Linked DNA regions of Arabidopsis thaliana. The protein of the gene in region 1 interacts with the protein of each later gene in a pairwise test. Each region holds a gene or a part of one and is shown in the gene's direction. Other genes may lie near its edges. The genes, in order: RAD51, RAD54, BRCA2B and AT1G04650.

Region 1 (4,748 bases):
CATTTAGCGTCAAGTAGTTGGCTAATCTTATATTTCAAGGTTTTAGCTAGCAATTTTTCATCCTGAATAAAACAAATTTTGACCAGTTTTTATATATAATTCTTTAGCAACTGAATTTTTTTTTTAAAAAAAAATTCATGGTTTAATTTGTTTGTGAATATTTTTTTTAAAATAATTTATGTGATTTCTAAATAAGTAAACAATTGACTTAAATATATTAGATTTCTTAGCAAGAAAAAATTGATGAAATAAATAATTTATAATTTTGAACTTATTAAATCAATAAAGGTCCATAGCTCAGTGGTAGAGCAATTGACTGCAGATCAATAGGTCACCGGTTTGAACCTGGTTGGGCCCTATATTTTTTCAATTTACCAATAATTTTTTAGAAGAGCTTTAGTTATATATTTGATTAGCATTTAGCATCAAGTAGTTGACTAATCTTATATTTCAACGTTTTAGCTAGCAATTTTTCATCTTGAATAAAACAAATTTTGATCAGTTTTTGTATATAATTCTTTAGTAACTGAATTTTTTTTAAAAAAAATTCATGGTTTAATTTGTTTGTGAATTTTGTTTTTTAAATAATTTATGTGATTTCTAAATAAGTAAACAATTGACTTAACTATATTAGATTTCTTAGCAAAAAAAAATTGATGAAATAAATAATTTACAATTTTGAACTTATTAAATCAATAAGGGTCCATAGCTCAGTGATAGAGCAATTGACTGCAGATCAATAGGTCACCGGTTCGAACCCGGTTGGGCCCTATATGTTTTCAGTTTACCAATAATTTTTTATAAGAGTTTTAGTTATATATTTGATTAGCATTTAGCGTCAAGTAGTTCACTAATCTTATATTTCAAGGTTTTAGCTAGCAATTTTTCATCTTGAATAAAACAAATTTTGACCTGTTTTTGCATATAATTCTTTAACAACTGAAATTTTTTTAAAAAACTTTCATGGTTTAATTTGTTTGTGAATTTTTTTTTATAAATAATTTATGTGATTTCTAAATAAGTAAACAATTGACTTAACTATATTAGATTTCTTAGCAAAAAATAATTCATGAAATACATAGTTTATAATTTTGAACTTATTAAATCAATAAGGGTTCATAGCTCAGTGGTAGAGCAATTGACTGCAGATCAATAGGTCACCGGTTCGAACCCGGTTGGGCCCTATATGTTTTAGTTTACCAAAAAAAATTAAATATCATCTTGAATAAAGAAAATTGACAAATTTTGTGATATTTGTAATATTTTATTTTTGTTATAATAAGTGATTACTACATTGTTGGAATTGTGGTGGTTCTCGGCGGTCAAACACCTAGGTACCATTTGGTTGACATTCAAACACCTAGGTATCACTCGGCGGTCAAACACCTATTGTTTTTACAAAACGTTAATTTAGTGTTTTAAAAATATATAATTTTAAGTAAAAATAATTTAAAATAAAAAAATAATTTTGAGAATCCATAATTCGATCAACTTTGATAATATCTAACATTTATAATTTCATGCATTTAACTGAAAATTTAAAATTACTATGGTACTTAATTAATAATAAAAATGAGGAGGATTTTGTTGTTGTTTTTGAGTATTTTATAGAATAAGAATTTGGGCTTTAATAGCCTTTAAAGCCCAATATGATCAAGGCCGAGGAAAAGCTGACCCAAACGTAATCGAGACTTGTTGAAGAAGCCTTTGCCCTCATCGTCGTCTTGTATAATAATTTTGGTTGTGGCGCTTCTTTCAATTTGTTTTCAGTTTCGCCATTTCCCTCCACTCTCAAGCTCTCTTTTGCTTCTCTCGCTTTCTCTGGTGACCCGAATCTGCTCTGATTGAGAGAAATGACGACGATGGAGCAGCGTAGAAACCAGAATGCTGTCCAACAACAAGACGATGAAGAAACCCAGCACGGACCTTTCCCTGTCGAACAGCTTCAGGTTCAATTTCTGCAGATTTCTTTCATTTGTTGTGGAAATTTACCTTCGCAGTCTATACGCTTCATCAGATCTTGCGCTAATTGAAATGGGTTCGGCTTTAATTCACTAAAAATTTCTGCTTTTTTTGTACATCGCGATGTGAAATAGGTGTGAATCTGGGCGAGAATTGAGTTTCGCTACTGTCTGTTAGGCGAATTGGTTTTAGGGGTTCGTTTAATTCAGAAAAAAATCGACACTTTTTGGGGGTTTTATCCTTTTCTGGGGAACTTCTCTATTGCTGTGACTCCAGTGTCATATAATCTCTATAGTTCTTCTCAATTCGTGTTCATAAAAGGGAGATGCATCAGTGTGTTTTGTGTTATGATTATATGCTATTTCATCTCTTTAAATCTTCAAAACTTCAGGCAGCAGGTATTGCTTCTGTTGATGTAAAGAAGCTTAGGGATGCTGGTCTCTGTACTGTTGAAGGTGTTGCTTATACTCCGAGGAAGGATCTCTTGCAGATTAAAGGAATTAGTGATGCCAAGGTTGACAAGATTGTAGAAGCAGGTATTACACATGTAGAAACTTTTTGCTTTCCTTCTCTGTTAAATACATAACACCTCTTTGATACTCTTAGAGTTAATGTGTGTTCTTATTTGTGTTTTCTTCTGTGATAGCTTCAAAGCTAGTTCCTCTGGGGTTCACTAGTGCGAGCCAGCTCCATGCTCAGAGACAGGAAATTATTCAGATTACCTCTGGATCACGGGAGCTCGATAAAGTTCTAGAAGGTTGGTGCTGGTTTCTGGTGCATCTTATAACGGCATTTTGTTATTGTGATCTTACTTTGCCGTATGCTCAACAGGAGGTATTGAAACTGGTTCCATCACAGAGTTATATGGTGAGTTCCGCTCTGGAAAGACTCAGCTGTGCCATACACTGTGTGTGACTTGTCAAGTAAGAACCCTGTTCCTATACCACTCAGTTATTGTTGCTTATCTAGCAGAAATCAGTGATCTTGTCTTTCTTCTTACAATTTCCAAACCTGAGAAAGATATTCACATTAAGGTTCACGTTTGAATGATTAGCTTCCCATGGATCAAGGAGGTGGAGAGGGAAAGGCCATGTACATTGATGCTGAGGGAACATTCAGGCCACAAAGACTCTTACAGATAGCTGACAGGTATGTTATTCTTGTAACACACATGAGATCACAATAGCGTTCTTGAGACGGAATCATCTGTAAGAAATCAAATGAAATGATGCAGGTTTGGATTAAATGGAGCTGATGTACTAGAAAACGTTGCCTATGCGAGGGCGTATAATACAGATCATCAGTCAAGGCTTTTGCTTGAAGCAGCATCAATGATGATTGAAACAAGGTGTGTTGAGTTTATTTTGGTGTTCAGTTCCGTTATGTCTATCATGAGAGTGCTAACTTTTAAAGTTACGATGACCCTATTGGCACAGGTTTGCTCTCCTGATTGTCGATAGTGCTACCGCTCTCTACAGAACAGATTTCTCTGGAAGGGGAGAGCTTTCGGCTCGACAAATGCATCTTGCAAAGTTCTTGAGAAGTCTTCAGAAGTTAGCAGATGAGGTGAACATTCAGTACTAACTGTTTCTTTTCCAATATTGCTCTGAGACACCATCCTGAAGTATTCTCTCTTATGTTTAATGGCTCTAGTTTGGTGTGGCTGTTGTTATAACAAACCAAGTAGTTGCGCAAGTAGATGGTTCAGCTCTTTTTGCTGGTCCCCAATTTAAGCCGATTGGTGGGAATATCATGGCTCATGCCACCACAACAAGGTCTGTAATGTTTGCAAATTCGACAAATCCATGTTTCTTAGTGTTTTTTGTTAGGGTTCGTTAGGAAAGTGTGTTTGTTATGATAATTGATACAGGTTGGCGTTGAGGAAAGGAAGAGCAGAGGAGAGAATCTGTAAAGTGATAAGCTCGCCATGTTTGCCAGAAGCGGAAGCTCGATTTCAAATATCTACAGAAGGTGTAACAGATTGCAAGGATTGATGTTTTTGGCCACAACAATGCCTTGCTTCTCTCTGCCTTATGTGCTTTTTTTTAGCAACCCCTTCACTTGTATTGATGTCAAAAAACCGTTTTCTTTTGTTTTTGTTTTTAACTGTTGATCATAGTGTAAGCGTACAAGTAAGTGATGATGGAGCAAAAGAGCTTTGTAAGTAAAGTTTTTCGGGTAATGAACCTTTTGTGTTTCACAAACGCACACAGCCTCGTGGTTTATACAACACTACTAAATTTTAACCCACGGTATACCGCGGAGACAATTTATTTTTTAAAGTTACTATATATAAAAGTTTGCAAATTATATTTATCGTAAAAATATTTTTATTTTATAGTTTACGATTGTTATTAAGTAACGTCCCGCCAATCCGTCCCGTAAAAAAAACTCACTGATTTTATTTATGATATGTTTATGAATCATTGTCTAAATATTTTTTAATTTTGTAGTAATTAAATGCTATCTAATATCTCTGCGGTTTGATGATTATAATCGAATTATTATAGTCATGTAGAAAAACAATATCAAAATGATAATTTTGTAGTAATTAAATGATATTAAATATTTCGGAAGTTTTATTTTAATAACTAATCGTGTAGTTAATGTGAAGAGATTTTGGGAAGATTGTCAAATATTTAATTCAAAGATTTTCTTTCTAATTATCAAAAACAATTATTAAATGCCAGTGGCAGCCACTGTAAATAAATTCCAACTCTAGGATTTATTTCACAAAGTGGCTGCAAAAATGTATATATAGATATATTACTTAGTGAACAATCAAA
Region 2 (7,870 bases), on another chromosome or scaffold:
ATCGTGTTACAGCTATCTTTTCTCTTGATGTACATAAGTCAGACTGAAACAGCCTAAAAACACAAACAATTCCTGCAGTTCGTGGTGTCTCGAGGTCTGATACATATAAAACAGAAATTGCCTATATGGGGACTATTGGTGAAAGAAGAAGCCATTATCTGAGCAAGAATCAGTAGTTTTTGTCTATACCTCCGATCAGCTTGTTTGGGCCAAACATCCCAAAGAAGCACTTATCTCTCTTCTGGTTATAGTTTTGTACGTGCAACGGATACACTTCAATAACGAACCCAAGCTTACATGCAAAAATGGGCCATATTCAAGGTCAAGATGGTTCATTATCCAAATCTTCCATCACTTCAATGTCCGTCCGAGATGTTATCTTCTGCACATATCCTGCAATTAGTTTAAACTTCTTAAGTCAATTGCATGTAAAACACTAAATCTAAACCAAACTGCAAAACTCAGAAAGTGTGGCTTTGTTTACTTTTTCACAAATACCAATCAAGAAACCAACTCATAGATACTCTAGAATCTTAAAACTATCATAGGAAAAACATGGAAAAAGAGCCACACTCAGAAACTTACCTATCCCTTGGCAGGGTATGCATTTGCATATAACCTCTTTACCCCTTTTCTTGTAATAGCTGACAGTTCCAGATCCTTGGCAACTTCTACACTTTCCAGTCCATTCATAAACCACTTCCCGGCAATCCTAAAAATTGGTCGGGTTATATTGTGATCAGAAAAAACAATCCCAAAAAGGCATTCTAAAGCAAATACTGCATCAAAAAGAAAATATTGCCTAAACACACCCAAAACTGGGGTGAAGAGTAACTCGGAGCAAATCTTTCCGAAAAAGGATAATTCATGTCAAAATTTAATTCCTATCTTATATCGACAAGAGCTTGCATCTATATTTTTCATGTTTTTGACACACATGCTTTTATAAAATAAGTCCATTGTTGAGTTTCACATTTCAGAAACATCATTCACCTTCCAGAATCTAAGCTTATCGCTCCATAAGAAAGACCAATTAAACTTAATGTCATTCGTCAAGCTACAAGATCAACTCATATATTTGTGCATATTGATTGGTTCGAAGATTAAACTATAGAGCAAATCAAACAGCCAATCGTCAGCTAAAGCAATTAAAATGTTCATCTAAATTAAGTGCAAGTATGTTGAGTCTTATTCAATCATCAAAATTAGTAAATGAAAGTTGAAGCAAAGCAAAAAACCTCGACTACAGGATCACATTGCAACCTCCGGTCAATCACATCCGGCGACACAGGGGATGTATCAGGATAAGTCATAGGAAGAGGAAGCGCGTCGCCATCATCTACCAAGTAACTCTCTCCACTTTTCGACCAGAGCAACCTCCTCTTCCTCCACTTAGCACCTTCACCATTCCCACCGGCGGCGACGGAAACATCCCGAGACCTCGCCGTGTCAGAGGTTGAATCCGCTTCTCGAGGTAATCGGATTCCGTCACCAAGGGGAATATCAGCGGCGGCGCGGCAACGGAGGGAGCGAGAAGGAAGACGAGGAAGGAAAACGAGAGGTCTGTGAGAAGGCAGAGAGCAATTAGGGTATAATCGGAACATTGAGACGAGAAGTTTGCAGGTGCGGCCATGAAATTGGGTGAAGTAATCAACCTCGACGAATTAAAAAAATTCGGATATTTTTGTTTTTGTGTGTAAATACTTAAAAACTTGGGGAAAATTACAAATTTACAATCTTCATGAAACTAACTGTTAGGAAAAATTGTAGCGTCCCATATACTCTGAAGGATATTTTAGTCCTTTTCTGATAAGGTTATTTTATTTCAAATAATTTGGTTTTTCTTTGTTTTTGTTTTTGGTTTTATTTCTTGCCGCCAAAAGAGTTTTAGGATTGGTCAAAAGCGGAGCTCTGGGCTCGTAGGTGTAACGAAAATGGAGGAAGAAGATGAAGAGATCTTATCGTCTTCCGATTGCGACGATTCCAGCGATAGTTACAAGGATGATTCTCAAGATTCTGAAGGAGAAAACGATAACCCTGAGTGCGAAGACCTTGCGGTGGTTTCTCTTTCATCCGACGCAGATCGGAAATCTAAGAACGTAAAGGATCTTCTGAGGTGCGTAATTGAATTTCCTAGATTTCAATTTGAAATTGAAGCTGAACCCTAAACCTGATAGATGCTTCGTTCGCTTGCTGCTACATATCATTTGGAGTTTTAGTGGTTCGAATTTAGGGATTTTAAAGGAGATTTAGTGTTCTCTTGTTCAAATTGATGATTGTGAATAGTCTCTGAAGCTGTATCAAACGCGTATTCCATTGTTTTATGGAAATGGAATTGATACTTATGCACGGTTGACAGGGGCAATCTAGTTGTGCAACGGCAGCCACTCCTTCCTCGGGTGCTTTCGGTGTCAGATGGAGCGGCAGTTTGTAGGAAGCCTTTCAAACCTCCGTGTTCTCATGGTTATGATTCCACAGGACAACTTTCTCGTCGCCTTTCAGCTCGAAAACGGTTTGTTCCTTGGGGTTCCTCAACTCCGGTTGTGGTTGCTTTACCTACTAAGCTGGAAGCATCAACCAATATTGAGAGAGATGAAGAAGAGGAAGTTGTTTGTCTACCACCTGATATTGAACCTTTGGTATTGTGGCAATCTGAAGAAGATGGAATGAGCAATGTAACAACTATCATGGTGCATTCAGTGCTTGTCAAATTTCTTCGCCCTCATCAAAGGTATTCATTTCTATCTAAGAATTGACATCGTGTACAGAGTTTTTTTTAAGGATCTCAAAACTTGATTCCAATCTGTGCTGTGATCTTAAAAATTCTTAAGGCATTCATAGTTTACTTGTTGAACCACGTCAAAATGTGCTCTTCGTTTAAAATCATATAACCCTCAGTGAACTGCTGGTGAATACAACAGGCCAATGAGTATAAAATTATCTCTAGTTGGCATCGAAGATGTTTATACAACTTTACTTACATGGTGAGGTGGTTTTTCTGAGACTGCAGAGAGGGTGTCCAGTTCATGTTCGATTGTGTTTCAGGATTACATGGTTCGGCAAATATAAATGGTTGCATTCTGGCTGATGACATGGGGTAAAATCTATCTTGTCCGTTATGTAAAATTGGATCTGGACTTTTTTTGTTTCCTATGTAATTTTCTTATTTCCTTCTAAATTGATTTGGCAGTTTAGGGAAGACATTACAGTCCATTACTTTACTATACACACTTCTTTGTCAAGGATTTGATGGGACGCCTATGGTTAAAAAGGCCATTATTGTTACACCAACGAGTCTTGTCAGTAACTGGGAAGCTGAAATTAAGAAATGGGTTGGAGACAGGATTCAGCTTATAGCCCTCTGTGAGAGCACCAGAGATGATGTTTTGTCTGGAATAGATAGTTTCACTCGACCAAGAAGCGCTTTGCAGGTATAGCTGTGCATATTTTTTTGCTGACTCTCTGAGAATTGCACTTATCACCTAACTAACGTTAACAGGTACTTATCATTTCTTACGAGACATTCCGAATGCACTCATCCAAGTTCTGCCAGAGTGAATCCTGTGATCTTCTAATATGCGATGAGGCTCATAGGTTGAAAAATGACCAGACACTTACAAACAGGGTAGGATGCAAATACATACTTATTTCGTATCCTTCCAGGTTGATACATTTTTTTTCTTTCTAATATTGGTTATCATCATATTTGACTACAGGCTTTGGCTTCATTGACATGCAAACGTCGAGTTTTGTTGTCTGGAACTCCCATGCAGGTAATGGAAAATTCCAGTGATTATCTCTATTAAATTTCTCCTGACATTTAACACTAAGCTTTCACTCTATGTTTTTTTGCATCTGAATGTTCCAGAATGACTTGGAAGAGTTTTTTGCCATGGTCAACTTCACAAATCCAGGGAGTTTAGGTGATGCTGCACACTTTCGCCATTATTATGAGGTGACAAACTTTGAATTTTGATGCCAATTTGATCATTCTGTATTCTGTCATCTATAAATATGTTAAAGATAAATTCTTGTAGGCTATTCTGTCATCTCTAAATATGTTAAAGATCATTTCTTCTAGGCTATTCTTGGCTAAAAGTTAGGATTAGCCCAAGTTATTTTGTAGTGTATACTTTGCTACTATATATATTCTGTTCGTTTCCAGTATTGCTGCTTCATGCCTTTGGATTCCATTACATTGTAAGCTTCTTTAAAAATAGTCTGTGCTGAGAGAATTTGTTTACGCTGTTATCTGTGTCATACAATTTCAGTTCAATTGACTATAGGTTGTTTATGTTTCTTGCATTACCTTCTTTTGATGCATCCTTGTTTTGATGTATGAAACCTAAGGCACCTATTATATGTGGAAGAGAACCTACAGCCACTGAGGAAGAGAAAAACTTAGCTGCTGACCGCTCCGCAGAACTGAGTTCAAAAGTCAACCAGGTGATTCTTCTTAGCATTTTATATCTAAATATTTGACTATTATTAAGCTTTCATCATCATCTGGATATATCTCTTAAAAGATATGCAATTTGCTTAGATGATTTTGGTATGATGATCAATAAAGAGCATCGCTACTGACCTTTTAGAATTGTTGCTTAATTTAACTGCTATACCTTATTAAGCTTTCATTTTTTTACAGTTTATTTTGAGGAGAACCAATGCATTGCTCTCAAATCACCTACCACCTAAGGTGCTTTTCCTTCTGTATCTGCCGCAGGCTTACAATGCATTAAAATTCTGTTTCAGTAGAGCCTTTACTACTTCTTTATATGTTGAACTGTTTCGTCATATTGAGTAATACCTGGAGTTTTAGCAGTGATATAATCATATGCTGAAAGTGCGGATAGAATGAACATCTTTGTGAAAGTGTCATCTCTTTTTTTAGCTACAAGTTTTTCCCGTTGCCGCTTTCTTTATTTTGAAGCCAGAAATACATCAAAATCTTGTTGTTGGATGTTTCACAGATAATTGAAGTAGTTTGTTGCAAGATGACTACTCTCCAGTCCACTTTGTACAACCATTTTATTAGCTCGAAAAATGTAAGCATTGATCACAGTCATTCTTGTTATGTTTCGTAAAATATTGAAGTTAGAACTACATATAATGGGTGCCTCTGCATGCAGCTTAAAAGGGCGCTTGCTGATAATGCAAAACAAACCAAAGTTTTGGCTTATATAACAGCTCTTAAGAAGCTCTGCAATCATCCAAAGGTAAAACTCATAGCCTCATCCATTTGCGTTTAAGTTTTTCCAATATTTTCTTCTGAGTCATCTTTGTAACATCTTACGGCGCTATTATCAAGTTCTGATATTAAGACGCTAGTTTCATAAATTTTAGTGGTCTTTGATCTATTTGATCGTCAAAACCTTTTTCATCATTCCCCATGTATGCTTAATGATAGCCCTATTCTTTTCTGTGTAGCTAATCTACGACACAATAAAAAGCGGCAATCCTGGAACTGTTGGGTTTGAGAATTGCTTAGAGTTCTTCCCTGCAGAAATGTTCTCTGGGAGGTAGGCTTCTATTGCATGTTTGCATGTTGTCACTAGTTGGGATCTAAATGGAACTATCCTTTCAGATCTGGAGCATGGACAGGGGGTGATGGTGCCTGGGTCGAGCTCTCTGGGAAAATGCATGTTCTCTCCAGACTTTTGGCCAACCTACGTCGAAAAACTGATGACCGCATAGTCCTTGTATCAAACTACACACAGGTATGCTGGAAAATGTCAATTCGAGTTGGATATAAAGTTACTTTTATATTTATTTGAAAGGGACAGTGCATAATATTGGTCATAGAGAATGAAGTATGAAATGCCTCCACATGGATTTTGAATAGATTCAGCTGCTGGTCGTCATTAGTGATGTTACTACTGTCCTAAATTTCAATTATGGATGTTGCAATCTCTTTTGAATTTTGAATTAGTCATAAGCTATGTGTTATGCTGTCCTGAGTTTTATGAGCCATCATATTTTTGGAACTTTTGCATGTGATATCGGAGAAGCTAAGAAAATCGTTACCCTGATTTGTCTATATGTATTCAAAAGGCAACGCTTTCTAACAAATATCAAGAAGTGAACTCTGCATGTTGTTTGATTGCATAAAATGACATGATGGTGTGTTGCATATATATAGCAATTTAAAACCAGCCTGAGTATACAATAATCATAGCCTGCACCTTTTGCACTAGACATTGGATCTTTTTGCTCAACTCTGTCGTGAAAGAAGATATCCTTTTCTGAGGCTGGATGGATCAACAACAATCAGCAAGAGGCAGAAGCTTGTTAACCGGTTGAACGACCCAACAAAGGTACATGACTTATCTATTTATGCCGTTGTTTCGAACCTGAGTAGACACCTGGTTTGACTTTTGGTTTTGGTAGGATGAGTTTGCATTTCTCTTAAGCAGCAAGGCGGGTGGCTGTGGATTAAATTTAATTGGTGCTAATCGACTTGTTTTGTTCGATCCTGATTGGAATCCTGCCAATGATAAACAAGTAATTACCATCCTAATTTCCCCTTAGATATGTTTCAACTTTATATTGATAAAAGATGATCGATTGTGCTGTACATGCATTATTTCGCTGTCAAAACAGGCTGCTGCTAGAGTTTGGAGGGATGGGCAAAAGAAAAGAGTATATGTCTACAGGTTTCTTAGTACTGGAACTATTGAAGAAAAGGTACTGCATAACTAGCCGAACTTGTTACTCAAGTTTCCTTGGGGGAGTTTGCTTACCTCAGATTCATATTTGTTTTCTTGTGGTACATTGGTAGGTTTACCAGCGCCAGATGTCAAAAGAAGGGCTTCAAAAAGTTATTCAGCATGAACAGACGGATAACAGCACGAGACAGGTTCTTGCTGGAATGTTATATGCTTCATCTATTAGTCATTTTGTGTCTAATTATTGAATATCAACCACAACATCTTTGATTTTCCAGGGGAACTTACTTTCTACAGAGGATCTACGAGATTTATTTTCCTTCCATGGGGATGTTAGGTATGTGTTTCTTCTGAAATCAGGGAATGTTTTATGCCCACTCAGAACATCGTTTCTCTATCCACTTTTGGGGACAGATTTTGTACCTCAAGATGATACACATTCAAATGGTTTATCTCAAAGCCTCTTTTCTGGTAATGTGGCTAGGTCTGAAATCCATGAAAAGATGAGCTGCAGCAGGTGCCAAAATGATGCCTCTGGTACTGAGAATATCGAAGAAGGGAATGAGAACAATGTAGATGACAATGCTTGCCAGATTGACCAAGAAGACATAGGCGGATTTGCAAAAGATGCAGGATGCTTTAACTTGTTAAAAAACTCTGAGAGACAGGTCCCTTCTTGTGCTTGTTACTGAGTCCTGCATTAAATATAAGTCTGTTTTGAGCTATTTCTTCATCAATTCCATTGTTAGTTACAAACTCTGCTCATGTCTTTTTACATCCGATTCATCTACAAAGTTTTTTTCCCATGAATATTCTTAGGTGGGCACTCCATTGGAAGAAGATCTAGGAAGCTGGGGTCATCACTTTACCTCAAAATCCGTTCCAGATGCTATACTGCAAGCTTCAGCAGGTGACGAGGTGAGTTGTCTCCAAGTTTTTTCAATCTTATAATCATAAACTCTACATCTTATGTCAGATTTTTCGAAAAGCCAATAACTTTATGATAACTATTTTCATGGTTTATTAAAAACATTGCAGGTGACGTTTGTTTTCACAAACCAGGTAGATGGGAAGCTCGTTCCCATCGAATCAAATGTCAGTCCAAAAACGGTGGAGTCCGAAGAGCACAATCGGAACCAACCTGTAAATAAGCGTGCCTTTAACAAACCACAACAAAGACCTCGGGAACCGCTGCAGCCGTTATC
Region 3 (7,822 bases), 6.8 Mb from region 1:
TTACACCCACACTGTTGAGTTATTTAGGAGATTCGTTCAACTTCTCTAAATCCGTTGTCTAACTGGCTTAGAGGGTCATCCATCATCTGGAGTGTTTATGCCTATAACCACCTGATATATCAATTATACATTTCTTTTCTCGTGTGGTTCTTCTTGCAGGGATCCTTCTTTGGTTGGAACGGGGCGACTCTTTAATTCCGTGGTAGGTGATTAGTGTGATTGTCTTGAAATGTATGATCTACTCTCATCGATCAAGTAACTTTGAACTACTTCGTATTGTAAACATATCTAAGGTTTGATGGAGTTGCATTAAGAAATAACATTTATGCTATATATGATGCTACAACTTACTATCAGGGTAAACAATGGTTATTTAGTCTTTGTCTACTCGTTAGATATAATTATGTTTAGAATTCGAAGATGAATGTTATCAAAGAAAAAAGGATTTGACATTGTCAAGTCTACTACTCCATATGACAGATCAACATTGTGTTAAAAATATTTTCTATTAGGGAAACTTCCTGTGACTGGAACATTAATGGTCAAATGCACTTTGCCTAAGTAATCAAGAATTATTGTATAAACTACGTTAAGCAAAAAAATAACCTGAGTTATAATATCAGGAGGTTATTTTTATTTTTATTTTAGCAAATGAATATAGATTAGCTATCAGATGAAGCAAGGTGTATAATCAAAGTTGAAAGACGCGTAATTGTGATCCTATATATACATAACACTACCGCAACTTCAGCAACCTCTAAATCATTCGTCTCCTAAAATTTTCCAATCTCAAAATCCCAAAAGAACAAAATCGAATGGTGTCAACAAATCCCCCTGTTCTTCCAATTTCCACCACCGCAACAGACACCACCAATCAGCCTCCGATTGTAACCGCTGTGGTGGAATCGCAACCTCCAGTCGTCCGTGCATTTGTCAACGGTGTGACCGAGACGGTCTGTGGTGGTCTATCTCGTAGCCGTCCGTGGTCAGAGCTCCTCGATCGATCCGCTTTCACAAAGCCTGACTCTCTCTCCGAGGCCGGGACGCGATTCCGGAAAAATTCCTCTTATTTCAGGGTGAATTACGTTTGCATTGTCGCTCTGATCCTTGGTTTCTCTCTTCTCGCCCACCCATTCTCTCTCATCCTCCTCCTATGTCTCGCCGCTTCCTGGCTCTTCCTCTACCTCTTCCGTCCATCAGATCGTCCTCTTATCCTCTTCGGCCGATCTTTCTCCGAATACGAAACTCTCGGTGGCCTAATCCTCTCCACGATCGCAGTGATCTTCTTCACAAGCGTCGGATCTGTATTGATATCCGCTCTCATGATCGGAATAGCAACAATCTGTGTCCATGGCGCCTTTAGAGCTCCCGATGATCTCTTCCTCGACGAACAAGATCATGCCGCCTCCGGATTCCTCTCATTCATCGGTGTTCCCGCGATCCCCTCTGTAGCACCCTCTGCCTCCTCAGCGGCTTCCCCCGTGTAAATTATAGTTCTCAGAATCTGGCGTGTTTAGAGATTTGAAGGTGGAGATTGTTGCAATGTAATTTTCTGTGATACTTGACCATTGTTGCAATGTAATTTTCATTGAAGTCAGTCACCAATCACATTGAACAGATGTTTTAAAATGTCCACGTAAGCAATTATTGTTTGGAACGATTTCGGGTTAGCATTCGTGCCGTTAGTTACCGCAATAAAAGGCCGTGGCAATATCACACTTGTCTTGGAACGCTATGTCCGTAAAAACCAAGCCCAAAGTTAAAATAAAACCACGCGTCTCATAATTTCGGCCCAAATCTTTTTCAACTTTCCCGCCTTTGTCAGAACTTTTAACTTTTTGGATTTTTGGTGATGATTTTGGTTTGGGGAAAGAAAATAAAACAATAAAAATAAAAATTCCGCACTCCCGACTCCTCCCTCTTGGCGTGGTAGGCAATTCTGAATCGCGAGGTTTAGTTCTCCGGCTGAATCATATAACGACGAATCGGAAAACTTGGAAACCCTAGAACTGAATAAATGTCGACGTGGCATTTATTTTCCGATTCCAGCGGCGATGGTTTCCGGTGGGAAGTCGCTGGCCGGATTCTTCAGTCCGTCTCGGATTCTACGCCAACCAAGGCGCTCGAATCGACAGCTCCTCTACCTTCCATGGCCGATCTCTTGCTCCAAGGTGATTCTTCGTATCTTCCTTTTCTTTGTCGAATCGTGTTTGTCATGTGACTCAAAGGAGATTGAATTATTATTTGATGCTTCAAGGATGCTCGAAGCTTATAGAACGGGAAGAATCGATGCCTGGGGAAATCCCAATGTTCAGGACTGGGCTGGGGAAGTCTGTAGTTCTTAAAGAGTCTTCGATTGCTAAAGCCAAATCCATTTTAGCAGAGAATGTTGCTTATTCAGGTATTTTATGTGACAGTATTGAATTCCCTTGACTAGTCATTTGTTTCTGAATTCGCTTGAATTGTTACTTAATGTTGGTGAATATGTGTTCCTGAAAATCTTTTGAATGTTCCATGTTCTTGGCTACACTTTTAGATTTGCAGAACACAAATTGCTCAATTCCCCAAACGAGACAAGTGGATACAGCTGAAACTATGCCAATGTTCAGGACGGCCTTGGGGAAAACTGTCCCTTTGAAAGAGTCTTCAATTGCCAAACCTTTGTCTATTCTAGGAAGTGATATGATAATTGACTCAGGTGTGTTCTTATCTCCTCTTTTTTTAAGTCTTATATCCAGCTGTGTGCGCATTTACATATGAACTTGTTGTTTGTGCTGCTACTCCGTTCAACTTCCAGGTTTCTTGAGTTTGGTTGTTATCAGATAAAACGATGAATAGTGAAGAACTAATCAACACACATCTTACTTCGTTTAGAGAATAAATATTAGAAGTGACATTTTTTCATAGTTTATTTGTTAATAAGATTCTTTTTGATTGTGTAGACAACGTTCTTCCCAGGGAGAGTGGGTTTGGTGTTCCCAACAGTCTTTTTCAGACAGCTTCCAACAAAAAGGTTAATGTATCTTCTGCCGGTTTAGCAAGAGCCAAGGCATTGTTAGGACTAGAAGAAGATGATTTGAATGGATTTAACCATGTGAACCAGTCGTCTTCTTCCCTCCAGCAACATGGGTGGTCCGGTTTAAAAACTCATGAGGAGTTTGATGCTACAGTGGTTAAGCATCATTCAGGAACTCCAGGACAATATGAGAATTATGTATCTGGGAAGAGATCTGAAATCTTAAATCCATCGTTAAAGGTGCCTCCAACAAAGTTTCAGACTGCTGGTGGAAAATCATTGTCAGTGTCAGCTGAGGCGTTGAAACGTGCCAGAAACCTTCTTGGTGACCCTGAGTTAGGGTCTTTCTTTGATGATGTAGCTGGAGGTGATCAATTTTTTACACCACAGAAAGATGAAAGGCTAAGTGATATTGCTATAAACAATGGAAGTGTCAACACAGGTTATATTGCTCATGAAGAAAAGACAAGCAACAAACATACGTCAAATAGTTTTGTATCTCCTCTTCATTCATCTTCAAAGCAATTTAGATCAGTTAACTTGGAGAACCTAGCTTCAGGGGGTAATTTGATCAAGAAATTTGATACGGCTGTTGATGAGACCAATTGTGCTCTGAATATCAGTAAACCTGCTACACATGGACTATCAAATAACAGGCCTTTAGCATCAGATATGGCAGTGAATAATTCCAAGGGAAACGGTTTCATTCCAAGAGCTAGGCAACTTGGAAGGCCTGCTGATCAGCCACTTGTTGATATAACAAATCGCAGAGATACAGCTTATGCAAACAATAAACAAGACAGTACCCAAAAGAAAAGGCTGGGAAAGACAGTCTCCGTTTCTCCTTTCAAAAGGCCAAGGATTTCATCCTTTAAAACTCCTTTAAAGAAAAATGCTCAGCAAGCTTCAAGTGGTAATATATACGATTAATTTTAATTTTAATTTTTTGTTAATCTAATTGGTTGGTTCTCAGATTTATAATTTTGGTGTCCTGTCTATTATCAGGTTTGTCTGTTGTATCGTGTGATACACTTACTTCCAAAAAGGTACTTTCTACAAGATATCCAGAAAAGTCTCCAAGAGTATATATCAAGGAGTTTTTTGGAATGCATCCGACAGCTACGACCAGGGTAAAATCTTTTTGTCCCTTTCACCTGTTCCTGCGTTACATAAATTTTTTCTTCATTCACTCAAACACATTTACGAGGTGGTTTTAGATGGATTATGTGCCAGACCATGTCAGAAGAATCAAATCAAGTAATGCAGATAAATATGTATTCTGTGATGAGTCTTCTTCAAACAAGGTTGGAGCTGAAACTTTTCTTCAAATGTTGGCTGAGTCGGGTGCTTCCTTACAACATGCATCCAGAAAGTACTTTCTCTGTCCCTTGAAATGTTAACCGTGTTATATGTTTATTATATCAGAAAAAGTGTGTGACTGTTCGTTTGAAGCTTGCATGTGATTGTCACTCTATTAGATAGACAGTTTGATGTCTATATCTATTAACTTATCTATCACTACATATGCACTAGGTGGGTTACTAATCACTACAGGTGGATAGTCTGGAAACTTGCATGCTACGACATATACTACCCAGCCAAATGCAGAGGAAACTTTCTAACAATCACCAATGTTCTTGAGGAACTAAAATACAGGTTTCCCAGTCTCACAACACAACTCGTTACTTAAACTCATGCAAAGTCTAACATGGTTAATCTTCTTAATAGATATGAGAGAGAGGTCAATCATGGTCATTGCTCTGCAATCAAGAGGATTCTGAGTGGTGATGCTCCAGCTTCTTCAATGATGGTCCTCTGCATATCAGCTATTAATCCAAGGACCGATAATGGTTCTCAGGAAGCACATTGTTCTGATAATTGCAGCAATGTGAAAGTCGAACTCACTGATGGGTGGTATGAAATTGCTACTGCTGTTCTGTTACCTGTTTTCTTGTCTCATTTCCATAGGATTTTTTTTTAAATCACAGGTACTCGATGAATGCTGCTCTGGATGTCGTGCTAACCAAGCAGCTGAATGCTGGCAAATTGTTTGTGGGGCAGAAGCTTCGAGTAAGTTATATTCATGCAAGATATACTTTGTTTTGCAACACAGATTTTGGTTAGATCACTGACTTGCAGCATGCTTACGTTCTTATCTCTTATCTGAAGATCCTCGGGGCAGGACTTTCTGGCTGGGCTACCCCAACATCACCACTTGAGGTTTCCTAGACTTTGCATTTTATAAGATTTTCTGATATCTTCTCAGGTTGGTTTGTTCTTAGAGTTTCGTTCAACCAAACTTTCAGGCAGTGATTTCAAGTACAATCTGTTTGTTGTTGAATATTAATGGGACATACAGAGCTCACTGGGCGGACCGACTAGGCTTCTGTAAGTAGCTTTATGCTGTGGACCTCACTACATCATCTGAGTTCTTATTGCTTTCATATTATTATCTTTCTATTGATCGTTCTTAATCTCTTCCTCAAGGTAAAGAAATTGGTGTCCCTCTGGCTTTCAACTGTATCAAGTGCAATGGGGGTCCAGTGCCTAAAACGCTAGCTGGCATCACACGAATATACCCCATCCTATACAAGGAAAGGTCAATATAAATGTGTGCCTGTTAATGCACTTTGGTCTTCCTTATACTTCTCGCAAAGCATTATATTTTCTTGATGTATACAGGTTAGGTGAAAAGAAGTCAATAGTTCGATCAGAGAGAATAGAAAGTAGAATTATACAGCTGCATAATCAGAGGCAAGTTTCCTTATAACTGTAGAGTAGCAATTTTTAGTAACATTTATGTGATCAATTTAGCACATCACTTTCTAAGAAGTGTCAGATTAACTCATCAAAGCTAGAGACATTTGTTACATACACCAATATTAGGGTTCTAAGTAGTTTTTGGGACAGACAAAGAATCTTTGTATTTATTAGAAAAGCTTCTGGCCTTCTGAATATGGATGGTTTTGCCAACAGAAGAGCCAAAGATTGCAGTTCCTCATGGTTTATTCTCATTCGTACTTTTCTTTCTTTCTTTTTCTATTTTCCGTAGGCGCTCAGCTCTTGTTGAGGGTATTATGTGTGAGTACCAGAGAGGAATTAATGGTGTTCACAGCCAAAACGATACTGACAGCGAAGAAGGAGCCAAGGTCTTTAAGCTGTTAGAGACGGCTGCTGAACCTGAACTTCTTATGGCTGAAATGAGCCTAGAGCAGTTGACATCTTTCACTACATATAAAGCAAAATTTGAGGTAGAATAGTAATTCCCTTTTCTTGATATATTGATTACAGTAATTAACTGCTTCAATCTGAACCTCAGGCAGCCAAGCAAATGCAGATGGAAAAATCAGTGGCAAAAGCTCTGGAAGACGCTGGTTTAGGTGAAAGGAACGTCACCCCATTCATGAGGATTAGGCTTGTTGGCCTGACGAGCTTAAGTAATGAAGGAGAGCACAATCCAAAAGAAGGCATTGTAACAATCTGGGATCCCACGGAGAGACAGGTACATTCAAATGCCTAAATCTGAATGTTTCATGCACAATTTAAAAGAAGGCATTTTTCTAATGGCTTATAAGTTTACACGAACCTTATCCATATGAGCTTATATGGAACGGGGAGTTCCAAATATAAGCTCGTCAGAGTTGCTGTGGACCTCGAATGGACTGAAATGCATATCAAAAAATCGTTACCATCACTGTACTGTTGCATTAAGAGCATCATCGATTAGCTTGTTCAACTTTTTTCTTGTAGATTCTTAAAACAGTTATCATTGTCTACTACTGTGACAGAGAACCGAGCTGACGGAGGGGAAAATATACATAATGAAAGGGCTAGTACCAATGAACTCAGATTCAGAAACACTTTACTTACATGCCAGAGGGTCAAGCTCAAGATGGCAGCCTTTGTCTCCAAAAGATTCTGAAAATTTTCAGTAAGTGGTTTTCTTTAGTAGACACTGGAATCTATCTCATTAATTTGTTCAATTTCCCTGATGATGTTTTCAGGCCTTTTTTCAACCCTCGTAAACCAATCTCTTTGTCAAATCTTGGTGAAATTCCTCTGTCAAGGTTAATCTCAGTAGTCCAAGCTTTTTATAAAACACTATTTACCGCACTTTGCTAATCTATACTCTATCATCTCTAATTATGTCCTTCAGTGAATTTGATATCGCTGCGTACGTTGTATATGTTGGAGATGCATACACAGATGTTCTACAAAAGAAGCAGTGGGTGTTTGTGACAGATGGATCCACACAACATTCAGGGGAAATCTCAAACAGTCTTCTTGCTATAAGCTTCAGCACCCCATTCATGGATGATAGCTCTGTTTCCCACATCAGCCATAATTTGGTTGGATCCGTGGTATGTACAAATTCTAATATTTGTCTAGTTTTACACTGAGAGAATATGCACCGAGAAATTATTGTTTGAAAAATATATGCTTTGTGGGCTTAATTTTTGGCAGGTCGGATTTTGCAATCTAATTAAAAGAGCAAAGGATGCGACAAACGAAATGTGGGTTGCTGAGACAACAGAGAACTCAGTCTACTTCATAAACGCAGAAGCTGCCTACTCTTCTCACCTTAAAACCCGCAGTGCCCATATCCAAACATGGGCTAAGCTCTATTCTTCCAAATCCGTTCGTTCTCGTCGACTTCCTCTTTCTATAAGTATTCGGTTCAAAAAGATTGTTCTATTGTATTAAGCCTTCTTGGTTTGCTCAATTTTCAGGTCATCCATGAACTTCGGCAAAGAGTCCTATTTATAATCGGTGCTTGTAAATCACCTTCATGCTGAAGATAAATCA
Region 4 (6,903 bases), on another chromosome or scaffold:
TAGGCGGTGCAGCTGGAATCGGTGGATTTCATAGTATAGGCGGTGTTGGCGGTCTAGGCGGTGTCGGAGGAGGTGTTGGCGGTCTAGGCGGTGTTGGAGGGGGTGTTGGTGGTCTAGGTGGCGTTGGCGGTCTAGGTGGAGCTGGTTTAGGCGGTGTAGGTGGTGTTGGCGGTGGTATTGGTAAAGCCGGTGGTATTGGCGGTTTAGGTGGTCTAGGCGGAGCCGGAGGTGGTTTAGGTGGAGTTGGTGGTCTCGGTAAGGCTGGTGGTATTGGTGTTGGTGGTGGTATCGGTGGTGGACACGGCGTGGTCGGTGGTGTGATCGATCCACATCCTTAATAGAGAGTATTTGTTGGTTAGGGTTTTAATTAAGGAATAATTAATTAGTTTCGATGTTATTGTTGGTCTTTTAATTCTGTGATCATTAGGGTGACTTTTGATCTATTTTCTAGTTTGGGCTTTTGTAACGTTTGCTTTGATTTCGGCCGTGGTGTTATGAAATGTGCGACTCTCTATGTTTGAATCGTTTTGGTTTAGGAGGTTCTCTTCTTCCATACTTTTGCATGTTCAAAGACAAATTTTTAATTAAGAGGAATTATCAAGGTTTCCGACGAGATATTTTTTGAAAATGAAATTGGTTTGAACTTGTAATGATATTTAAAATATGAAAACATCACTCAAAAATGGATGGAGTACAAACTTTTTCCACTATATATACATTACATGTAAAAAGTGTATAGATTTCGTTTTTGTTGCACTGTCTAACTCTAAATAAGTCGGATATCAAAGTTAGTATATAGTAAAAAAAAAAAAAAGTTAGTATATATATCCAAGTGGTAAAACCCGTAAAATTAACATATATATATATATATATATATATATATATATGAGTTTGGTCAAGGGTTTTGAAAGATCTCGACTAAGAGAAGACATATGAGTTTTGGTTCAAAAAGTCCTTCGATAATCATTAGAAACGAATTAATATATAGTAAAATTGAGTAAAAATGTTAATCTATTAACCAAAGGTTAACTATATAGAAGATTAATATATTATAAAACTAACCAAAACATTGGATATTGGTATATCCGGATTATTTTCCTCGTTGATGATCGCAATATTGCATTCAGCCATCTACTACACACTTCCTCGTTGATGATCACAATAATGCATTCAGCCATCTACTACACACTGACACATATGATTCGTAATTTCGTATGAAATGTTTGAACTCATACTTTTAATTTACATATTTAAGATGGACGTAACAATGAACATTTGTTCAGAACTTGAGATTGTACTACCCCTATAAATAACGCCTATTTACTAATTACTATGCATGGTTCATCATGGTTGGAAATTTCTTTGCAAATGATCTAGTGTATATTAATCCAAAATATATAGGAAAAATACATTAATTGTGGGAGGAAGACAGCAAGAATCCACAAAAAGGAAGCACTAATAAATGACGTAATAATTGCGTTGGGATGAGAGGGACACAAATTAAAGAAGATAGGATTTGCATGTCAAACACTTGTTGTCCCATTTCATGCATCGTCCTCTCTATTGTCTATTTCGCTGTCACAACCTCTAAATTTACATCTCATGCAATTTATTACGACGTATACATACACCCTTCAAATTTTTATTCGTTTGCATTTGTATATATATACATATATATTAGCTAGTAAAATTAATCACAATTTATAATTTTGTAATCATTAAAAATATTGTAGTAAAAAAAGCAAAACCCAAAAAAAATAGAAAAGAAAACTGAACTGGTTGGTGTTTGTGGTATTTTTTTTAATAATTTTGTTAAGGATTTGATATGGGTTTCAATTTTAATGGTGGACCGAATTGAAAATCATCGAGTGAAAATTGAGCTACTTACAAAGCCCAATTAGATCCAACGGGCCTCAAAATATCTTTTATATTCCATTTTTTTTAATTTGTTTTTGTTTAATAAATCAAAAATTGAAAAGCGAAAGGCAGAGAAAATTTCCAATATAGGCGAAATGTAAAGAGCGGGAAGCTAAAGCCTAGAGAGAGATTCTCACACTGCCAAAACAAAATTTCCCTGTAGAGAGAGAGAGAAAGAGTGAGTGATGGAGAAGAATGCGATGAAGTTACTCGAAGAGATCAAATCTTCTGATGTAAGCTTCTCTTTGATTTCCACCTTTGATTTGATTTTCTAGGTTTCTGTATATTTTTTCCAACTAAAATCTTCTGGTGGATTTTATCGCTTCCGGTAGTCATTTCTACGAATCCTCTCTGTTAAATCGAGAAATTTCTTCTGATTGCTTTGGGTTTTGTGATGTTTCTTATCAATTTCCCTTCCGATTAAGTTTCTGCAGCTTAATGTATATATAGAGTGATTAGGATTCAGTTGAGTTCTGTAGCTCATGGATCTAACGAGCTTCGTTTTCTTCATTGTTCGCTCAACAGCTTATCGAGAATCGGGCTCAATTACTCACGCGGCTCAGTCAGTTAGATGTTGAAGAGAATTCTGATTTGCCTTCTTTTGTGGAGAGCCTAACTGTATCCCCAGTCTTTTCATCAGTTTTGCTGATTTTCAATATCTTCAGTTATACTATGTTTAAAATTGAGATGTGGATATCCATTATGTGACGGTTGGATTCAGGATAATGAAGTGACGAACTTATATCTGCTTATTTGCATGTTTCACTTGGATTCATATATGCTTTAAGTGGTTTGTTTGTTTGTTTCCAAGTATTCCTTGACAGCTGTATAGACACTCTGGGAAGATTTCACATGTCTTGACGTTTCCCTGTGTTTGTTGAACAAGGCGATTCTGCCTGTGGCTTCAAAATACCTCGCTTTGGATCGGCCTGATTGCTCACACTACTTTCTTGCTTTTGCTATTAAGGTACAATGTTTTCATTTTTATTGCTTACTGCTCAACCTCAATTTTGGAGGGGTGTTGTATTATCTTTTCTTATTCCACTTCTTCTAGGTAAGCCAATGGTGTGCCAAACATTTAAACATGTCTGTTATGTCCATGGAGGAGTCTCAAGAGGAAGAGCATTCCAACATTTTCTTTCAGGTTATTTGATGCTTTTTGGTTCTGGAAGTAGGATTCTGTCGCAGCTTATGGTTTCGAAGGGACTGAGTTATTCAATCAATGTTATGCAGCTTCTTTTGGATTATCTTCGTTTTTCTGCCTCAAGCTTTACTGCTATTGGAAAAACTTGTTTCATGACTGATGATGCCTCAGCTGTTACAGTTCATAAGTTTGTTTCAGAGCAGCTCAATTTGACAAAGGAGTTGATAATGAATTCCAAGGTATCTTTGAAAATCATCTTTATCTTTCGCTAGTAACTACACGTACCATATCATGAAACATTTTTAACATTTGTTTTGTTGAAATTACTACTGTAGGTTGAGAATCAACTTGAGATTATTGTTTTGCCTTGTTGTCATCTGTTAATAACTTTCACCTTTCTATGAGACAGAAAGTCGAATCCTTTTCCTCGGAGATTTTTAAGGCTGTGCAAGTGGTAATTGATTCTACTGTTCGTCTGTGCAAAGAATACTCTCAAACAGTGAATCGTGAGGTAAGTGAAATGAAGACGAGTGGACATGTAGGAAAGGCAAGGATGGAGGAAGGCAACGCTGTGGGTAATTTGGTGAGCATGATTACGCTGGGAGTTAAATCTCTGAGTGAATTGGGTATGCTTGCTGCAAGAGATGGTGGAAATCTTGTGGCCATTCTTAATACATCTTGGAAGGGTGTGATTACATTGCTTCAACTAGACAAGCAGACATTGGTATCTAAGGTAGATGTAGGAGAAATTATCTTAAAGCTAATATCACTGATCAAGGACTCCCTGAGATTTGCTGCTGAGGCTTGGTCTTGCTCGGTGAAGGAAAACATATCTGCAACGGAAGCCAGAAGGGTCTTTCTTCCTGTGAAATTTTATCTTATCAATGCTGTTAAAGTTGTGGCGCTGTTTCCAAGCCAGGCGTCTATGGTGTCCAAGGATATAGCACTATGCATCTTGATGATCTCTGCTTTCAAAGTTTCACTGAGCCAACAAACTCATGGAAAATCCGCAAGTGAAGTAATGACTGATCTTCTGGAGAAAACAACTGTAGATCTTCTAGGTGCACTGTTAAATGCAGCTGAACTAACACAGGAATTCAGGCTCACACTTCTTGATTCATTGTTCGTTGATGAATTCTCAAACCAAATCTGTAAGAAGCAGAGCCATGATTCTCACACAAAAACATCATTGGTGGATATCTTGTCTTTATCTGTTGAATCTGCGACAAGTGCTAGAGATTTGCTCCTGGCCCGAGTTGTATTGTTCCAGTCTGTCATGAGGTATTCTTTCGAGCTTGACAAAGATGCAAAGCTTGCAATCACCACAAAGCTGCAATGGCTTCTCGACATATTAGCAGACAAAGAGGTTTACTCTTCAGTTCTTTCCTCTCAGCTACCAATGGCAGATGGTTCTGGGAAGATAGTAATCTGGGAATCAATGTATTCAGCTCTGCTTCTGTCTCTCAAAACCCTTATGATCATACTCTCTTCAACTCCTGCCTGGGAAGAGCTTGAAACATTCCTACTTCAGAATCTCTTGCATCCTCACTTCTTGTGTTGGCAGATAGTCATGGAACTCTGGTGCTTCTGGGTTCGTCATGCCACTGACGATTTGGTGGTCGATATGATTAATCAACTTTGTACATTCATTATGTCAATGCCATCATCAGAAACACCTCTTTGTCCAGATTCCGTTCTCAGAAGAACTACAAAGTCCATCTGCTTTCTTCTTACCCATAGCCCCAAATCTTTAACAGTTCAAGTTTACAAACATATTTCTACTGAGAGCAGATCTGACCATGCACCTGATGTATATCTAGCATTGCTGTTAGACGGGTTTCCACTGAATTTTCTTCCAGACAGAATAAAAAACGACGCAAAGAGACAGATATTTGCAGATTTCTTCAACTTCATCGAGAAATTCGATGAGAAACCGTCAAATTCCTCCAGATACACTCTGCTTGGAGCTCCAGTTTTCACAGTATCTGCTTGCCTTCGGATACTGTAAGTAATGATAATATATCTATTCTTGAGACTTCTCTGGGGATTTTATTACACGAGATAGCAAAAGTCAGATAATAGTAACTGAAAATAGTGTGAGCGAAAGGGTACATTTTCAATTTTTGTGTTGTGGATATTATTGACTGTTGTTGTTTTTCTTCCGTGTAGAAAGATGAGCATATCAGAGATTGATGCCAAAACTCTGAACTTTGTCGTCGCTCTCATTCAAAAGTACAGAAACTCCAAAGATGAAACGACGAAGGAACGTTACAGTGAGATTCTCAGCGAAACATTATCTATCATCTCAAGAAGCGAACAGCTATACACTTGCCAAGAGATGGATAATGTCATAACAGAGCTTCAAAAGCTATTCAATTCAGAAACTAATCATCATCATAATCATCTTCGTAAGTCCAAGCCAAACCTTGCTCTCTTCTTGTCAGGACTCAGCAAATACGAGATGTCTGAAACCAAAAAGTGTCCAAAGAGCATTGCGGTTTGGGAACTCTACCATATGCTTCTCAGGAAACGCCACTGGGCTTTGGTACACCACGCGGTTACTGCGTTTGGATACTTCTGTGCACGTACAAGCTGTAATCAGCTATGGAGATTCGTACCTGAAGACGCGGCTCTAGCCTTCGATATAGCTTCTGGAAAAGAAGCGAAAACAGAGCGGTTCATGTCGGAATTAAAGATGTTTTTGGAGAAAGAACAAGCGCTTCTTTCAATCACACCTTCAGAAGAAGAACTGGAGTTACTTTCGAAAGAAGGCACCGAGGTTAAGGCAACAGTGCAGAAGCTTCTAGAAGGAAGAAGCCAGAGGTCAATGGAAGTAGAGAAACGACCGAACAAGAAAAGGAAACTTCCAGAAGGAATTTGCAGAGGAATGGAGTTATTGCAGAATGGAGTGAAGAGGATTAACGAGGGTTTAAACGAATTGAGGTCAGATGAAAATGAGAGTGAAGAGTTTCAAAAGAGTTTATCGAATCAGTTTTCGTGTCTTGAAGATTTGGTCTCTCATTTGTTAAGCCTCACCGCAGCTTCGGACTAAAGTATCTTCAGTGGCTATCTATCACACACTGTTAAAAGACTTTTATGCTAACAGATGTTTGGGATTAAAGATGTTCTTTAAGAAAGAACAAAGCGCTTCTCTCAAATACACTTTCACAAGAGGAACTTGACAAACTTTCCTCTTATAACATGATAAAAAGTTGAAATAGTAGCGGATTTACCTCTTACCACCGAAATTTTTGAACAAACGAGGTTAAGTTGTCGACAACGGACTATAAGATTTTTGGGGCCAAAGGCTTAATTATTTTCTCAAGGTAACATTAAAATATTTTAAAAACATTATTGTAAAAATATTAATAAAATTGGGACTTCTTTGTAATATATTTTGCTTAATTTCATCAGAAAATGTGGGGCCAAAGCCCATGTTTTTTTGGACGATCAATTTCGCATAATCCATTAAGATTTAATATTATTATTTTATTTTTTTTGTCTGGGTCAAAACCACACTAAATTCTCATTTTACTGATTTGGATGTTTGTTTGGTCACATGACTTTTACACTGATTTCTTTGTTTGTTTGGTCAATAGTCAATGGGATAGTTACTATGTGAAGAAACCGTCGAGCCCTTGGAATACTATAAAATCAACTCCAAGAGCAACCTGAAAAGCCACATTCATAAATACAAACATCAAAATGGAAAAAGTTTCTATTGTTTGCTTCTTCTTCTTTCTTTTATTTGGTTCGGGTTATGGGGGCCTCCCACCGTTCTGGCGCGCTACGGTTGTCACGATGACAAACTTGATTGGCGGTCCACCTCTTACCATACATTG

What was found.
Region 2: the proteins of RAD51 (region 1) and RAD54 interact in binary tests that used the Arabidopsis thaliana proteins (3 or more experiments, as listed by UniProt).
Region 3: the proteins of RAD51 (region 1) and BRCA2B interact in binary tests that used the Arabidopsis thaliana proteins (3 or more experiments, as listed by UniProt).
Region 4: the proteins of RAD51 (region 1) and AT1G04650 interact in a two-hybrid assay, tested with the Arabidopsis thaliana proteins (one study listed by BioGRID).

The regions. Positions count from the first base shown.
Region 1 is NC_003076.8:7,069,966-7,074,713, reverse strand, and holds RAD51 (RAS associated with diabetes protein 51), read left to right. Parts: upstream 1-1,747; 5' UTR 1,748-1,853; coding exon 1,854-1,949; intron 1,950-2,353; coding exon 2,354-2,498; intron 2,499-2,608; coding exon 2,609-2,719; intron 2,720-2,793; coding exon 2,794-2,885; intron 2,886-3,016; coding exon 3,017-3,111; intron 3,112-3,196; coding exon 3,197-3,310; intron 3,311-3,398; coding exon 3,399-3,528; intron 3,529-3,615; coding exon 3,616-3,737; coding exon of another isoform or gene 3,738-3,801; exon of another isoform or gene 3,802-3,832; coding exon 3,833-3,956; 3' UTR 3,957-4,223; downstream 4,224-4,748. UniProt on the Arabidopsis thaliana protein: Binds to single and double-stranded DNA and exhibits DNA-dependent ATPase activity. Unwinds duplex DNA. Component of the meiotic recombination pathway.
Region 2 is NC_003074.8:6,652,941-6,660,810, reverse strand, and holds the start of RAD54 (DNA repair/recombination protein), read left to right. Parts: upstream 1-1,847; 5' UTR 1,848-1,934; coding exon 1,935-2,116; intron 2,117-2,359; coding exon 2,360-2,731; intron 2,732-3,010; coding exon 3,011-3,097; intron 3,098-3,190; coding exon 3,191-3,431; intron 3,432-3,499; coding exon 3,500-3,625; intron 3,626-3,716; coding exon 3,717-3,773; intron 3,774-3,868; coding exon 3,869-3,955; intron 3,956-4,350; coding exon 4,351-4,446; intron 4,447-4,645; coding exon 4,646-4,696; intron 4,697-4,970; coding exon 4,971-5,045; intron 5,046-5,098; coding exon of another isoform or gene 5,099-5,129; coding exon 5,130-5,216; intron 5,217-5,427; coding exon 5,428-5,519; intron 5,520-5,584; coding exon 5,585-5,717; intron 5,718-6,194; coding exon 6,195-6,314; intron 6,315-6,387; coding exon 6,388-6,501; intron 6,502-6,600; coding exon 6,601-6,684; intron 6,685-6,778; coding exon 6,779-6,856; intron 6,857-6,943; coding exon 6,944-7,002; intron 7,003-7,149; coding exon 7,150-7,333; and 6 more. Other genes in the region: SCO2 (protein disulfide isomerase), read right to left, coding at 323-393, 586-712, 1,239-1,604. UniProt on the Arabidopsis thaliana protein: Dissociates RAD51 from nucleoprotein filaments formed on dsDNA. Could be involved in the turnover of RAD51 protein-dsDNA filaments. Addition of RAD54 overcomes inhibition of DNA strand exchange by RAD51 bound to substrate dsDNA.
Region 3 is NC_003076.8:235,107-242,928, reverse strand, and holds the start of BRCA2B (BRCA2-like B), read left to right. Parts: upstream 1-1,822; 5' UTR 1,823-2,017; coding exon 2,018-2,171; intron 2,172-2,257; coding exon 2,258-2,401; intron 2,402-2,536; coding exon 2,537-2,698; intron 2,699-2,942; coding exon 2,943-3,929; intron 3,930-4,021; coding exon 4,022-4,146; intron 4,147-4,233; coding exon 4,234-4,388; intron 4,389-4,549; coding exon 4,550-4,672; intron 4,673-4,744; coding exon 4,745-4,930; intron 4,931-5,004; coding exon 5,005-5,086; intron 5,087-5,185; coding exon 5,186-5,236; intron 5,237-5,322; coding exon 5,323-5,404; intron 5,405-5,503; coding exon 5,504-5,615; intron 5,616-5,698; coding exon 5,699-5,770; intron 5,771-6,068; coding exon 6,069-6,267; intron 6,268-6,335; coding exon 6,336-6,518; intron 6,519-6,804; coding exon 6,805-6,947; intron 6,948-7,020; coding exon 7,021-7,083; intron 7,084-7,172; coding exon 7,173-7,377; intron 7,378-7,480; coding exon 7,481-7,654; intron 7,655-7,746; and 2 more. Other genes in the region: PRA1.B5 (prenylated RAB acceptor 1.B5), read left to right, coding at 816-1,487. UniProt on the Arabidopsis thaliana protein: Involved in double-strand break repair and/or homologous recombination by mediating RAD51- and DMC1-facilitated DNA repair. Plays an essential role in both somatic and meiotic homologous recombination.
Region 4 is NC_003070.9:1,294,103-1,301,005, reverse strand, and holds AT1G04650 (holliday junction resolvase), read left to right. Parts: upstream 1-1,982; 5' UTR 1,983-2,102; coding exon 2,103-2,150; intron 2,151-2,442; coding exon 2,443-2,535; intron 2,536-2,749; coding exon 2,750-2,884; intron 2,885-2,922; exon of another isoform or gene 2,923-2,971; coding exon 2,972-3,061; intron 3,062-3,150; coding exon 3,151-3,300; intron 3,301-3,470; coding exon 3,471-5,065; intron 5,066-5,230; coding exon 5,231-6,113; 3' UTR 6,114-6,379; downstream 6,380-6,903. Other genes in the region: AT1G04660 (glycine-rich protein), read left to right, coding at 1-338; AT1G04645 (Plant self-incompatibility protein S1 family), read left to right, coding at 6,767-6,903.